Linked DNA regions of Cricetulus griseus. The protein of the gene in region 2 interacts with the protein of the main gene of each other region in a pairwise test. Links are inferred from orthologs where the notes say so. Each region holds a gene or a part of one and is shown on either strand. Other genes may lie near its edges.

Evidence for each region. The genes of interacting proteins can lie anywhere in the genome.
Region 1: the proteins of Kash5 (region 2) and Stx5 interact in binary tests that used the Homo sapiens proteins (3 or more experiments, as listed by UniProt). The two-hybrid records come from large-scale screens. The link is inferred for Cricetulus griseus from reciprocal best matches to the Homo sapiens genes KASH5 and STX5.
Region 3: the proteins of Kash5 (region 2) and Jagn1 interact in binary tests that used the Homo sapiens proteins (3 or more experiments, as listed by UniProt). The two-hybrid records come from large-scale screens. The link is inferred for Cricetulus griseus from reciprocal best matches to the Homo sapiens genes KASH5 and JAGN1.

Annotation. Positions count from the first base shown.
Region 1 is NC_048596.1:51,355,579-51,359,589, reverse strand, and holds the start of Stx5 (syntaxin-5), read left to right. Parts: upstream 1-1,211; 5' UTR 1,212-1,357; intron 1,358-1,524; exon of another isoform or gene 1,525-2,033; 5' UTR 2,034-2,055; coding exon 2,056-2,280; intron 2,281-2,623; coding exon 2,624-2,694; intron 2,695-2,855; coding exon 2,856-2,911; intron 2,912-3,129; coding exon 3,130-3,200; intron 3,201-4,011. Other genes in the region: Wdr74 (WD repeat-containing protein 74), read left to right, coding at 152-328; testis-expressed protein 54-like, read left to right, coding at 525-603, 734-945. UniProt on the Homo sapiens protein: Mediates endoplasmic reticulum to Golgi transport.
Region 2 is NC_048599.1:154,093,337-154,097,399, reverse strand, and holds the start of Kash5 (protein KASH5), read left to right. Parts: upstream 1-1,263; 5' UTR 1,264-1,341; coding exon 1,342-1,384; intron 1,385-4,063. UniProt on the Homo sapiens protein: As a component of the LINC (LInker of Nucleoskeleton and Cytoskeleton) complex, involved in the connection between the nuclear lamina and the cytoskeleton.
Region 3 is NC_048601.1:31,352,355-31,356,524, forward strand, and holds the start of Jagn1 (protein jagunal homolog 1), read right to left. Parts: upstream 2,801-4,170; 5' UTR 2,667-2,800; coding exon 2,578-2,666; exon of another isoform or gene 2,576-2,577; coding exon of another isoform or gene 2,571-2,575; intron 51-2,570; coding exon 1-50. UniProt on the Homo sapiens protein: Endoplasmic reticulum transmembrane protein involved in vesicle-mediated transport, which is required for neutrophil function.

The DNA.
Region 1 (4,011 bases), on a different chromosome or scaffold from region 2:
TCTACCCTGTATAGCCTTATTGCTGAGGGTGAGGGACTCCAGAACACAACTGCACTGGTTTCTAGGTCAAAGTAGTGGTGTCCAGAGAAATTATTTTTCTGCCAATCTCTTTCCTTGTCCCTGATTCCTGAGTTTCTTTCTCACTCATCAGGATGAGCCCCAAGAACCTCAAGAGCCCAACATGGTACCCCCAGAAGACACAGAGACAGATGAACTTTGGGCATCTTTGGAGGCAAATGCCAAGCGGAAGCTCCCTGATTTAAATCAGATACAAGGGACTCTCCAAACAAGAAAAAAAAAGAAGCGGCCTGGATCCTCCAGTCCTTGAAGACTTTTGCTATTTTGTTAATAAACAGCCCAACACACACAGAGACCCTGAACCTTTTGTGATGGGAGAAAGGAGAGGTGGCTTGTGGGTGGGAGGGGTTCCCTCACCCGGGCTGTGGGAGACCTGACGTCACAAAAGCTGGGTCCAGAGCTAAGCAGGCTGGGGAGGGTGGCAGAGTCCTGCGCCTCTCGGGGCCATGGGCTGCTGTCAAGACAAGGACCATCAGACCTCTGATGAGCATGCAAGGGAGGAAGTGACCGACGAAGGTAGGCAAGGTAGGCCCAGATTCAAAAAAGGGTCAGGGAGCTGGATTGGGAATGGGAGTGGGAGGTGCCCAGAATGGACGGCCTAAAGAGACTGGACTAGAGAGGAGAACTGAACTAAGTGGCCTCGTGGCCCTTGCAGACAACGAAGTCAATTTGGACAACGCAGGCCGCCGCAAACAAAGATCTAACGAAAGTCTTCTGATCACCGTGCTGTGGCGCAGGCTATCCATGTTCAGCCGTCGGGGGTCCTCACGGTCAAGCAAGAGGCTCTCAGACCTGACTCAAAAGCAGGAGAGTCAGATCCAGGAGCGCAAACGTGAGGGAAGCCACAAGGAACCAGAAAAGGGCTGACTCCAATCCTGCTCTCGTCCTCCCCAACATCCAGAGAATAAAATTAATATTGTGGATCTGCCGAAAACATGCCTCTGCCTCCACATCTGTAGGCGCCGAGGCGCTGGCTCTTTAAGACTCCTCTGGCCCAGCCCTCTGGGATCTGTTTCTGCTCTTCAGGGGCGGGGCCACAGCGGCAGTTTAACCAATAGGAGAGCGGAGTCGAGCATGCAAGGGCAGAGGTGTGTTCTTCCTGTCTCTGGGCTTAAAAAAATAGGCGTGGCGCGGCATCACGTCACGGGGGTGGGGTTACGTGTGGGTGACGTGGCGGCTCCTGCTCTTTGCTCCGATTTGGGTGGCTTACAAGTCCAGCGAGGAGGCGGCGACGGCCTGGAGAGAGTGGCAGTGGCGGCGGCGGTAGGCAACAGAGGAGGTAGGGCTTCGTTGGGGTAGGGGGCCAGTTTCTGTCGGTCGTCTCAGCTCGGGGGCAGCGGCTTGACGGTGGGGGAGGGGGGAGAAGGGAGCCATGGGCAAGCCCTGCTGGCGGCTCCGCGTAAGCGAATACCTTGCTGTCCAATCAGGAAAGGCCTTGTTGAGAAAGACGCCGGCCCTGTCCAATCAGTGGCTGCAGTCTTCCAACAGGCGGAACTTTGATGGAGGTGGGACTTCCTGTTTCAAATAAACACTTAAAGAGGTTTTCCCCCCCTCCGCCCACCGAAGTGTGTCCACCTTTGGAGGTCGGTTGCCGTTTTTCCGTGAGGGAGTTAAGGAAGTCACGTATACCAGAGGGCACGATTAAGATCTGGGCCAACTGCAAAGGTCTGGCTGGAGGCTCAGGGCCGCAGGACCAGGCTTTGGCTGTTTTCTCGACTTTAGGGCCCCAGCCGGTGCTTTGGCCGTCAGAGCCAAGTTGGAAGGAGATTCTGAGGAGGCTTCGCCTTGGGCCTGGAGGAAGCTGACCCTTCTCGCCGTGGCCGGGCTGCAAGATCTACGGGTGGCCTTGGGCTCGAAAGCCTGTCAAATACGGGAAAGGGCCTGAGGATTTGCTAGTTGAGGGGAAAGCTTTGGGGAACGAGGCTGTCTGGAGAATGACATTCTCCTCTCCACAGCAGTCCGAGGTTATGCGACTCGATGATCCCGCGGAAACGCTACGGATCTAAGAACACAGATCAGGGTGTCTACCTGGGTCTCTCAAAGACACAGGTTCTGTCCCCTGCAACTGCTGTCAGTAGCAGCAGCGACATCACTCCTTTGCCCACCCCGGTGGCCCTGGTCCCTTCCCCTCCCGACACCATGTCCTGCCGGGATCGGACCCAGGAGTTCCTGTCTGCCTGTAAGTCGCTGCAGAGCCGTCAGGTAAGGACCTGGAGTGGAAAGGCAGGTGTGAGCCTAATTAATGCTTACGTTTTGTCTGCTAGTTGTCTAAATTTACTTTACAACAAAGATTAGCGAATCTTACCAATAGGAGTGGAGGAATTGTCTTCAGCAGGGATTAAGAAAAGATTAAATACCACGAACGATGAGTCAAGATTTAAACCTACATATAATTTTTTTTTCTTAGCTATAAACCACTGATAAATTTAGATTGTCTGATGCCAACAGCACTGGAGTGTTTAGTGGATATGTGAGGGAGCAGTGAAAAGCTGAGCATGAATAGTGAAGAGAACTAAAGTATCCACTTTTTGACATTACCTTTCAGAATGGAATCCAAACAAATAAACCAGCTCTACGGGCTGCCAGACAACGCAGTGAATTTACCCTTATGGCCAAGTGAGTTAAGAGAGTCTTTGGGGGGGGGTGGTAATACAATGTCTAGGAAGTTAATTTGCCTGTGTTGGTTAGGCTGAATGGGATTGGTTGTGTTGGAGCTTATGGGAATTAGCCTCTTTCCTGCCCTTTACCACAGCCTTCTCACTGATGATCATTTGCAGGCGCATTGGAAAAGATCTCAGCAATACATTTGCCAAGCTGGAGAAGCTAACAATCTGTGAGTGTTTGGTAGATCTTTCCTAGATGGGACAGTGAAACATAGTACTAGGAAGTGAGGATCGTGCAGTTTTTGTTTTATTTTCTCCTATGGTGCTGGGGATTTTAAACTAGGACTTTGTGCATTAAAGCAAGTGCCTCTACCACTGAACTGTATTCTTAGCCCTTTGAGCCTTGTTATTACCATCACCTGTTGTAACACTTCATCTGTCTCTGCAGTGGCAAAGCGCAAGTCCCTCTTTGATGATAAAGCAGTAGAAATTGAGGAGCTAACATACATCATCAAACAGGTGAGCTGCTAGCCATCAGGAGAGCCCAGCATTCTAATTAGATTACTTCCATCATTTTCCATCGCCATGAATCCCCAGGGTAAGTATCTAGACCCATGTCCAAACACCCTGCTCCTCCACTGAGTCCATAGACACTTAGGATCATCTAGCATTTGTAAAGTACTGTTCTGTATGCTGATGGAACAAATGAGAAGCAAGATTATTGTCTTTAAGGGTTCATTCTTCTTAAGAGTTACCCAGCATCAGGAGCCTAGGCTTAAAATGAGTAAGTGATAGTATAGAAAAGATTTTACAAAAAGATGAATGAAATAGTATGCTGGGAAAGATTGACAGAGGATATGAAATCTGAACTGGATTCGGAGGTTATATAGAGGAAATAGAAGGACTTACCAGTCTGAGGAGTTTATTTACAGAGGTGTTGATTAGAAAAGGGGGAAGGTCAGCTGAGAGTAGTGATGAACACCTTTAATCCCAGCACTCTGGAGGCAAAGGCAGGCAGATCTCTGAGTTCTAGGCCAGCCTGGTCCACAGAGTGAGCTCCAGGACAGCCAGAGTTGTAAGTTTATTCTCTATAATTACCTTACGTTTGTTTGATTTCATTCCCTGTATCCTTTCTACTTTTCTAAAAGAGAAGGAAAAAACAAAGGGGCAGGGCAAAAGATTTGCAGATACCTCAGGAGCAGGTTCTTTGTTTTGGTTTCAAGACTCTAGATATATAGCCCAGTCTGGTATTTTTGTTTAAGTCAGGGTTTCTCTGTATATCCCTGGCTGTTCTGGAACTTGCTGTATAGACTAGGTTAGTCTTGAACTT
Region 2 (4,063 bases):
GGCTCAAGTCTTTAATCCAGCACTCTGAAGCAGGTGGATCTCTGAGTTCAAAGTTGGGCTAGTCTTCATGGCAAGTTCCAGGCCAGTGAGGGCTACAGAGGGGGACCTTGTTTTGTTTTAAAAAACAAAGGCTGAAACAGTACTCTTGAAAATCCCAGCACCCATGTGGCAACTCATAACCATCTGTAACTCCAGTTCTAGGAAATCTGATGCCCTCTGGCCTCCAAAGATATCAGACACACATGTGGTTCATACACATGTAGACAAAACACTCGAATAAAAAATAAAAATAAACCTAAAGGGGGAGAAAGGCAAGAAAGCAGTCCTGATGAATCAGCTTCCTGATGAGGCAAAGAGATGACAAATTCAAGGCCAAGCTGGCCATATTAGGGACGTTTTGTCTCAAAATGAAAAGGCTGGGCTGTAGCTTGGCAGTAAAGTGTCTATCTGGAATTGACTAGTGGGGCTGGTGTGTGGTTCAGCAGGAGAGCACTTGCCTAGAATCCACCAGTGAAAGATTATTGACAGTGTGGCTCAGTGACAAACGAGTGTGGAGGCAGGGAGAGCAAGGCTGAAAGTGGTTCAGACGGCCAGCAGTCCAAATTCGGGATAAAATGGGCAGTCTCCAGGCAGTGTGGGAGCCAGTTCAGCTTGGTATTCAGTCCCAGGCAGAGTGAAAGCTGTTTCTAGATAACAAGACACAAAGGCAAGGCAAGTCCCAGGCAGAGACCACAGTAGGAGTAGTGGGTTAGAGTTGCTAGAAGATAGAGCATGATTTGGAGAGAAAGCAGCTGGCCCAGGCCACACTGTGCCTCTGTTGCCAGAAAAAAGCAGGCTCTGCCTCAAGGTGATGGGGAACCATGGCCAGGCAGATCAGCTCTGCAGCCTGTGGGGATGCACTGGAGCCTGGAAGGAGGCTGGGACGTGGGCCCAGGGAGAACAAGGACCCAAGGCAAGATTGAGGACGGCAAGAGGAGCACAAAGTGGAGTCTCTAGGACAGGCATGATGACTTGCTAGGTTACAGGGGAGAGAGGTGGCCACAAGCCCTAGGGGCAGCAGTTGACCCCACCCTCTTGTCTCCTGCTTTGATCTTGCCGCCTGCTCCCCATCCCATACCTCAAATCCATAGCAACAGGTTGGAGTTGGGATGGGCATGGCAAACAGGTTCTGAGAACCCTGGGGCAGAGATGGAGCAGTTTAGCGGTGGCTAGTCTGAGGAAGCCATTACTTTGCTTGTCCTTCTAGGAGCTGTCTGGGCAGGCTGTTCCTTTCCCAACCCTCCTATCAGTGGAGGAAGGGTGAGAGCTTCACCAGCTGCAACAGAGAAACAGGAGTGGTCCATGGACCTGCCAGAGGACCCGGCTAGTAGTTCCACTGCACAAAGTAGGTGTCTGCCTGGAAGAGGAGGAAGTGGGAGCTGCGGGCCAGTGTGGGAGCAGGAGAGGTGGCCAGGCAGCGTGGTCAGAAGCAAAGGATGGTGGGAGAAGTGTCGATTGTGTGCTTGCCACGTGTCTGTCCCCATTTGCTCCTCTCTGGAGGGCTATTGGGGACAGAAGGCTGTGCACATGGTAATATCCACACCATCCCACCTCTTCCCACCAATTCCTCCTCTGTTCAGATCGTGGGCTAGTGAGATCTCTTACTTGGGGTAAAACAGGTTCCCTGCCCCGTCTCTTCCTGCTGCACTTCTCTTCCCAACACTGGCATCTGTCTGTCACCTACTTAGTCTAAGACTCTCCCCTGGAGCATGGCTCCTCAAAACCTATTCTACTCCCAGTGTGTGTGTGTGTGTGTGTGTGTGTGTGTGTGTGTGTGTGTGTGTGTGTGTGTGTGTGTGTGTGTGTGTGTGTGTGTGTGTGTGTGTGTGTGTGTGTGTGTGTGTGTGTGTGTGTGTGTGTGTGTGTGTGTGTGTGTGTGTGTGTGTGTGTGTGTGTGTGTGTGTGTGTGTGTGTGTGTGTGTGTGTGTGTGTGTGTGTGTGTGTGTGTGTGTCTTACAGTGCAGGAGGTGAAATCCAGGGTTTTGTGTGTGCTAGGCAACCAATCACCACTGAGCTATGTTCAGCTGTGCTGACCTCTGGGTTTTTGGTTTTTTGAGACAAAATCTGGCTTTGAACTTTTCACCCCTCTACCTCTGTTTCTCAAGTGTTGAGATTACAAGCATGCTCTCCACCATGCTCAGCTCACATATATAACTTTTAATTTTTTTAAAAGAGAAAAGCTGGCAAGGGGCTCATATCTGTAGTCCTGGAACTGAGGGGCTGAGGCAAGAAGATAGAAAGTTAAAGGCCAAATCAAGCAGGTGATGCAAATGGTATTAACTGATTTTATTTAGCTTTGTATGCATATAAACTGTTTTCTGCATTAAGCAGCATAAGAACATGCTGAGTTACTCCTGTTTTCCGACATCTTTGAGAACTAGTATGTGATGTTTCACACTAACACTGTTCCATCTTGGCCTGCTCAAGTGCAGGCAGCCTGTGCCGACTGGTGCTGCTAGCCAGAGCAATGCCGGCTTCATTGTGGAAGCTCAGTGCCTTGTGGGCAGATTCAGATACGTAGGTGTGGGAGCCAGCACACATCAGCTCAGGGAGGAAGGTGCTGGCTAACCGACTGTCTTCTGTGGGCCAGCCTCTGTCTCTGTCTCTCACTCCTGTTCTCTTTCCTGCCTATCTTTGTCTCTGCCCTGACTCAGCAACTCTGTTCCCCAAGAAGCTCTCTCCTTCCTCTACTGTCCTGGTCTCCCCCCTCACCTCATCTCTGATTTCTGACTCTCCATCCCCTGAGGATGAGCTAGAAGGGAAAGCCAGCCTCTGATTAAGAAGCTCTTTCCTCTAGATAGTCAGTTGGGGTCACTGCTGGAGTATCTTGTCTTCCAGGCTCCTGGATGTTTACAGGCAGGCCTGCAGCTTTGCTCAAAGCTGAGATTTGCACATCAGCCTCAGGAGTAACCTCTGCAAATAGGAGGGTTTTCAGGCAGACCAGCATGCCAGGACTAGAGAGAGGGCTGCCTGGCTTACGGGGAATGACCGCCATCTAAACCTCGCCTGCACCAGCAGAGGGCGTGCAGCCACCAGGAACTAGGACCATAGCCAAGTCAATTCCTGAGACTGCCTTTGGGAAGGGAATAACTCAGCCACAGGAAAAGCAAGGGATAAAAGACAGAGATGGCAAAGTAGAGAGAAGGCACTAGGAACAGAGTAACAAGATGGAAGACAGGAGAAAACAGGATGGAGGGACACAGGACAGAAGCTGGACATGTGAGAGAGGTTGGGGAAGAAGTGGAAGAAATATCTCAAAAGAAGTAGAGCTGGGGACCCAGCAGAGGCCGAGGCAGAGGCAGGTGGGTCTCTGTGAGTTCAAGGCCAGCCTGGTCTATAGTCCAGCAGAGGCAGAGGCAGAGGCAGGTGGGTCTCTGTGAGTTCAAGGCCAGCCTGGTCTATAGTCCAGCAGAGGCAGAGGCAGAGGCAGGTGGGTCTCTGTGAGTTCAAGGCCAGCCTGGTCTATAGTCCAGCAGAGGCAGAGGCAGAGGCAGGTGGGTCTCTGTGAGTTCAAGGCCAGCCTGGTCTATAGTCCAGCAGAGGCAGAGGCAGAGGCAGGTGGGTCTCTGTGAGTTCAAGGCCAGCCTGGTCTATAGTAGTTAGTTCCAGGACAGCCAGGGCTACACAGAAAAAACTTTTCAGAAAAAAAAAAAAGATAGAAGCAGGGGCAGAGCTGTGAAGTGGAGGAGGAAGGAGAGGGCAGAAAGAGTGTCTTAGGGTAGTGTCTCTATGTATCAGTGTCCTCACTGGGCCACAGAGTCCTCCTTTGTTACACTGGATGATGAAGAGCAGTAGACCAGCTGAAGTCCACCTCCCCTAACTATCCTGGGCTCCTAGAGCCCTCCCATGGGAGCCAGAAAAGGTCCAAATCAAACTGGTGCAATGAGTCCTGAAGTGTCAGGGGGAGAAAGGGGATTCTTGTGCTGGAAGGCAACTGTGGCAGCTTCTGTTGCTCTGCCTCAGACTCATCTTTAGGAATAGCAGCTGCTGTGGTTCTGATGATCCATGAGTGCCTGTAGTTATG
Region 3 (4,170 bases), on a different chromosome or scaffold from region 2:
TGACCAGATGTACGTAGATCAGCTTCTTGATTTCACTCTTGAGCGTCACACTGTAAGGCAGAGCAGAGGGAGAAGCAATTTTCATTTAAATTGCTCCGACCACCAGGCACCGGTACTGGACACATAGATACAATCTGAATGACACAGCCTCTGATAGAGGCTGGGAAACATGAAGTATAAAACTCAAGTAAATACATATAAACCGAAGATATCCGCTATCCCAGGGAAGAACCAATTAGCATGAGATGGAAAGCCAGAGAAGGTTATATCTAGAGGAGAGAGCTATTTCAGCAGAGGTAATGAGACGAGTGGAAGTGGGCTTCTACGCAGAGGCAAAAACATGCAGGCACAAAGGAATAAGCTTTTTAGTATTTGTGTTTCAGGAAATCAACTGCCAAGGCACAGAGAGGTAGTAACAGTTACAAAGACCATGCATGTGTAGACTTCAAGACTGAAGAACAGTAATGGCACCTGGGAGGCTGAGGCAGAGGATCTCTGATTGGAGGTTGGCCTGGACAACGTACTAAGACATTATCTCACCAAGCCATGACAAGAATTCTGAGCTGTGGTTAGAAAGATGGCTTCGTATCACAGAAACAAAGGCCATTAGGGGGAGGCCTAGCAACAAGGAACACAGTTTGGGCTCCCTGTATTTCTCCAGATATAGTTTCCATGAGAAGGAGGCACATCTCTTAGTCCTGATCTTCTCGGGGTCTCAATTATATCCTTTTCATATTGTCACAAGCAAGGTGTCTGCTCTAGGTACGCATGAAAACAAGAGCATCCATTAGGCAGGGGCCTAAAGTTGAAAAAGAAGGGTCCAAAGGGCTTGTCATCCTTCTGTACAGAAAGAGGCCAAGAACCAGTTGAATAATTCAGTGGATTTAAGGGGAAAATTAATTTGTTATAGGAAATGTGGGAGGTAAGGAGAAAAGAATCACTTCTGGCACTCAAGCTCCTTGAAGGCAGGACCCAGATTGGCTTTTCTTTCTTTTTAAAAATTTATCTCATGTGTATGTGTGTGCACCACGCACACGCCTGTGCTGTCGGGAAGCCAGAGGGCATCGGAACCCCTGGAACCGGAGTTGCAGGTGTTTGGTTGTGAGCCTCCTGATGTCGGTGCTGGGAACTGAGTTTAGACCCTCTCCAAGAACAGCAAGTGCTCTTAACAGCTAAGCCAATGTGGGGGTCTCTTCAACCACCACAGCCAGCAGAGTTAACAATCTGCAGGAGGCAAGGTAGTTGTGTGGGTTCAACACAACTCAGTACCTGGTGTTGGTTTAAACTTCAAGAGTCTGACCCCAAGTATTTTACTTTAGGCATATTTAAGTACAGCACAATTTGATGAAAAATTCCCTGGTGGTAATTAATTTCATCTTGTGTGACAACAAAGCTTAAGACATGACTACATCAAAACTCTTTGTAAAGTACACATGACATCTTCCTAAAGACAGGGTCAACAGGGCGGCTGTGGTGTACACCTTTAATCCTTGCACTTGGCAGCAGAGGCAGGCAGATCTCTGATTTCTAGTCTGGTCTACAGAGCAAGTTCCAAGACAGCCTGGGGACTGGAGAGATGGCTCAGTGGTTAAGAGCACCTGCCGCTCCTGGAGGCTAGCATGGACCCCATACCAAGCCGCTATCTCACAAAATCACTTCGGGGTTTGGTCCTCAGTACTAGTCTCAGGTGGATTTAAACACGTCTGTAACTATAGCTCCAAGAGATCCAACACCCTTTACTGGCACTGCATTCTGCCAGCACACCTGCTCTCGTGTGGGCAAACTTACACACACACAAACACACACGCGCGCGCACACACACACACACACACACACACACACCACACCCTTTACTGGCACTGCATTCTGCCAGCACACCTGCTCTCGTGTGGGCAAACTTACACACACACAAACACACACGCGCGCGCACACACACACACACACACACACACACACACACACACACACACACACACACACACACACACACACACACACACCCTTTACTGGCACTGCATTCTGCCAGCACACCTGCTCTCGTGTGGGCAAACTTACACACACACAAACACACGCGCGCGCACACACACACACACACACACACACACACGCAGTTTTCTTTAAGAATGTTAGTTTTCAGACCACACACACACACACACACACACACACACACACACACACACGCACGCAGTTTTCTTTAAGAATGTTAGTTTTCAGACCAGGCGCATACTCGGGAGGCTGAGGAGGGAAGGCCGTGAGTTCCAGGCCAGCCTGAACTCTAGACACTGCGGGACCTCGATTTGAAAAAAGAAAAATGATGTCTCCAAGGTCATTCAGAGGGGCTGAGCATCGACCCCTGAGCCTCTGCAGGCCAGATCCCCTCAAAGCACGAGGCGGGCGAGGGCAGGCCACTGGGCTTCCCGGCCTGTAAACAGACCCGAGGCGCTCGCCGGAGCCGGGGACCCGGTAGTACGCGACAGCTGGCTGGGGGAGCGGCACCGTGAGGCTCGCCCGCGTCGCTTCCCGAGACCCGCAGGCTCCTCCCGGGGAAGGCCTCAGTGCTCCTGGCTCACCTCATACCTCATCTGGTAGTGCATGGCGACGCGCTCCCGGTGCTGAAAGTCGCTGCCGTCGGTGCCGGCCGCTCGCGGGCCTGCCCGAGACGCCATCGTTCAGAACCAAAGCCCAGGCCGCTCACGCCGACCCTCCGGCTCACCCACCACGCCAAGCCCCGAGCGGAGCCCTTCCTCGGGGCTCAGTAGGCTTCCAGCACCCGGCGTGCAGCTCCGCGAGCACTTCCGGCCTCTCTATCCCGGGAGGACCGACTCTGTGGTTTCTCCTCCGCGCGTGCGTTCTTGGTCTTTCTGGCCAGCCTTACCGCTCCTGGAGTAGGGCGACTGAGGAATTAATTTAGTCCCTAGAGTTAGCACTTTTACTTGATTACAAGACATTTTAAAAATTAGTTATTTCTTTGTGTATGCGTGTTGTGTCTGTTTTGTAACTATGAGCACCACGTGTGTTCCTTGTGCCAGGAGAGGCTGGAAGAGGGTGTAAGATAGACTGTTGTTAGCTACTGTGCGAGCGCTGGGATGCAAACTCTTCTGGTCTCTTAACCACCGAGCCATCTCTCTAGACCCTAAGTTCTTAACTGCATGTCTATCTAGACTTGGCATCTTTGACTAATTGCCCAGTGGCTGGTTGCATGCGCGCTTAACACTTTGTTGTTGTTGTTGTTTTGTTGGTTTTATTTTGTTTTGCTTTTCAAGACAGTGTTTCTCTGTGTTAACAGCCCTGGCTGTCCTGAACTCGCTCTGTAGTCTAGTCTGGCCTTGAACTCACAGAGATCCTCTGCTGCCTCTGCCTCCCGAGTGCTGGGATTAAAGGCGCGCGCCACCAATACCAGACACCCTTACACTTCTTACAGCTCCACACAACCTTGGGGTCAGGGTCCAGAGCAAAGATGTCATGCTCCTGAAAATGCAGTGCCAAGCAAGAGGCGTCACCCAAAGGCTGAGGCAGCACAGAGGCAGCCTTCCCCATTTCAATGCTATGTATCCATAGTGGCAGGATCTGAACTGAGACCCTGGGGCCTTGAGGGCCAACTGGGAACAAAGATGGTGGCGAACGTTTGTAATCTCGTCACTCACTCAAAAGGTAGAGGCAGGAGGATGAGGAATTCATGAGGTGTTATGTCAGGAGTTAAGAGGCCGAACTAGGCTATGTGGGACCTATGTGTCTTTAAAGGGGGGAGGTGGTGCTGGAGAGATGGCCCAGTGTTTAAAAGCACCTGCTCTTCTTGCAAAGGATCCAGGTTGTTTGGTTGAGACAGGGTCTCACTATGTCCTGGAATTCTCTATGTAGACCAGCCTTGAACTCACAGAGTGTTTGTCACCACTCAGGGCGTGTATATATCTGCATACCAGATGTATGCCTGGTACCAGATGAGGCCCAGACAGGGTGCAGAATCCTCTGAAGCCGGAGTTCTTGTTCTGAGCTACCATGTGGGCTCTGGGAATCAAAACTGGGTCCTCTGCAAGAACAAGCACCCTTAGCCACTGATCCCTCTTCAACCCTCTGGGGTTTGGGGATTAAGGCCCACTTGGCAGCTCATCATGCACTGAAACTCCAATTCCAGAGTCTCTGGCACCCTCTTCTGGTCTAGGTGAGTACTAC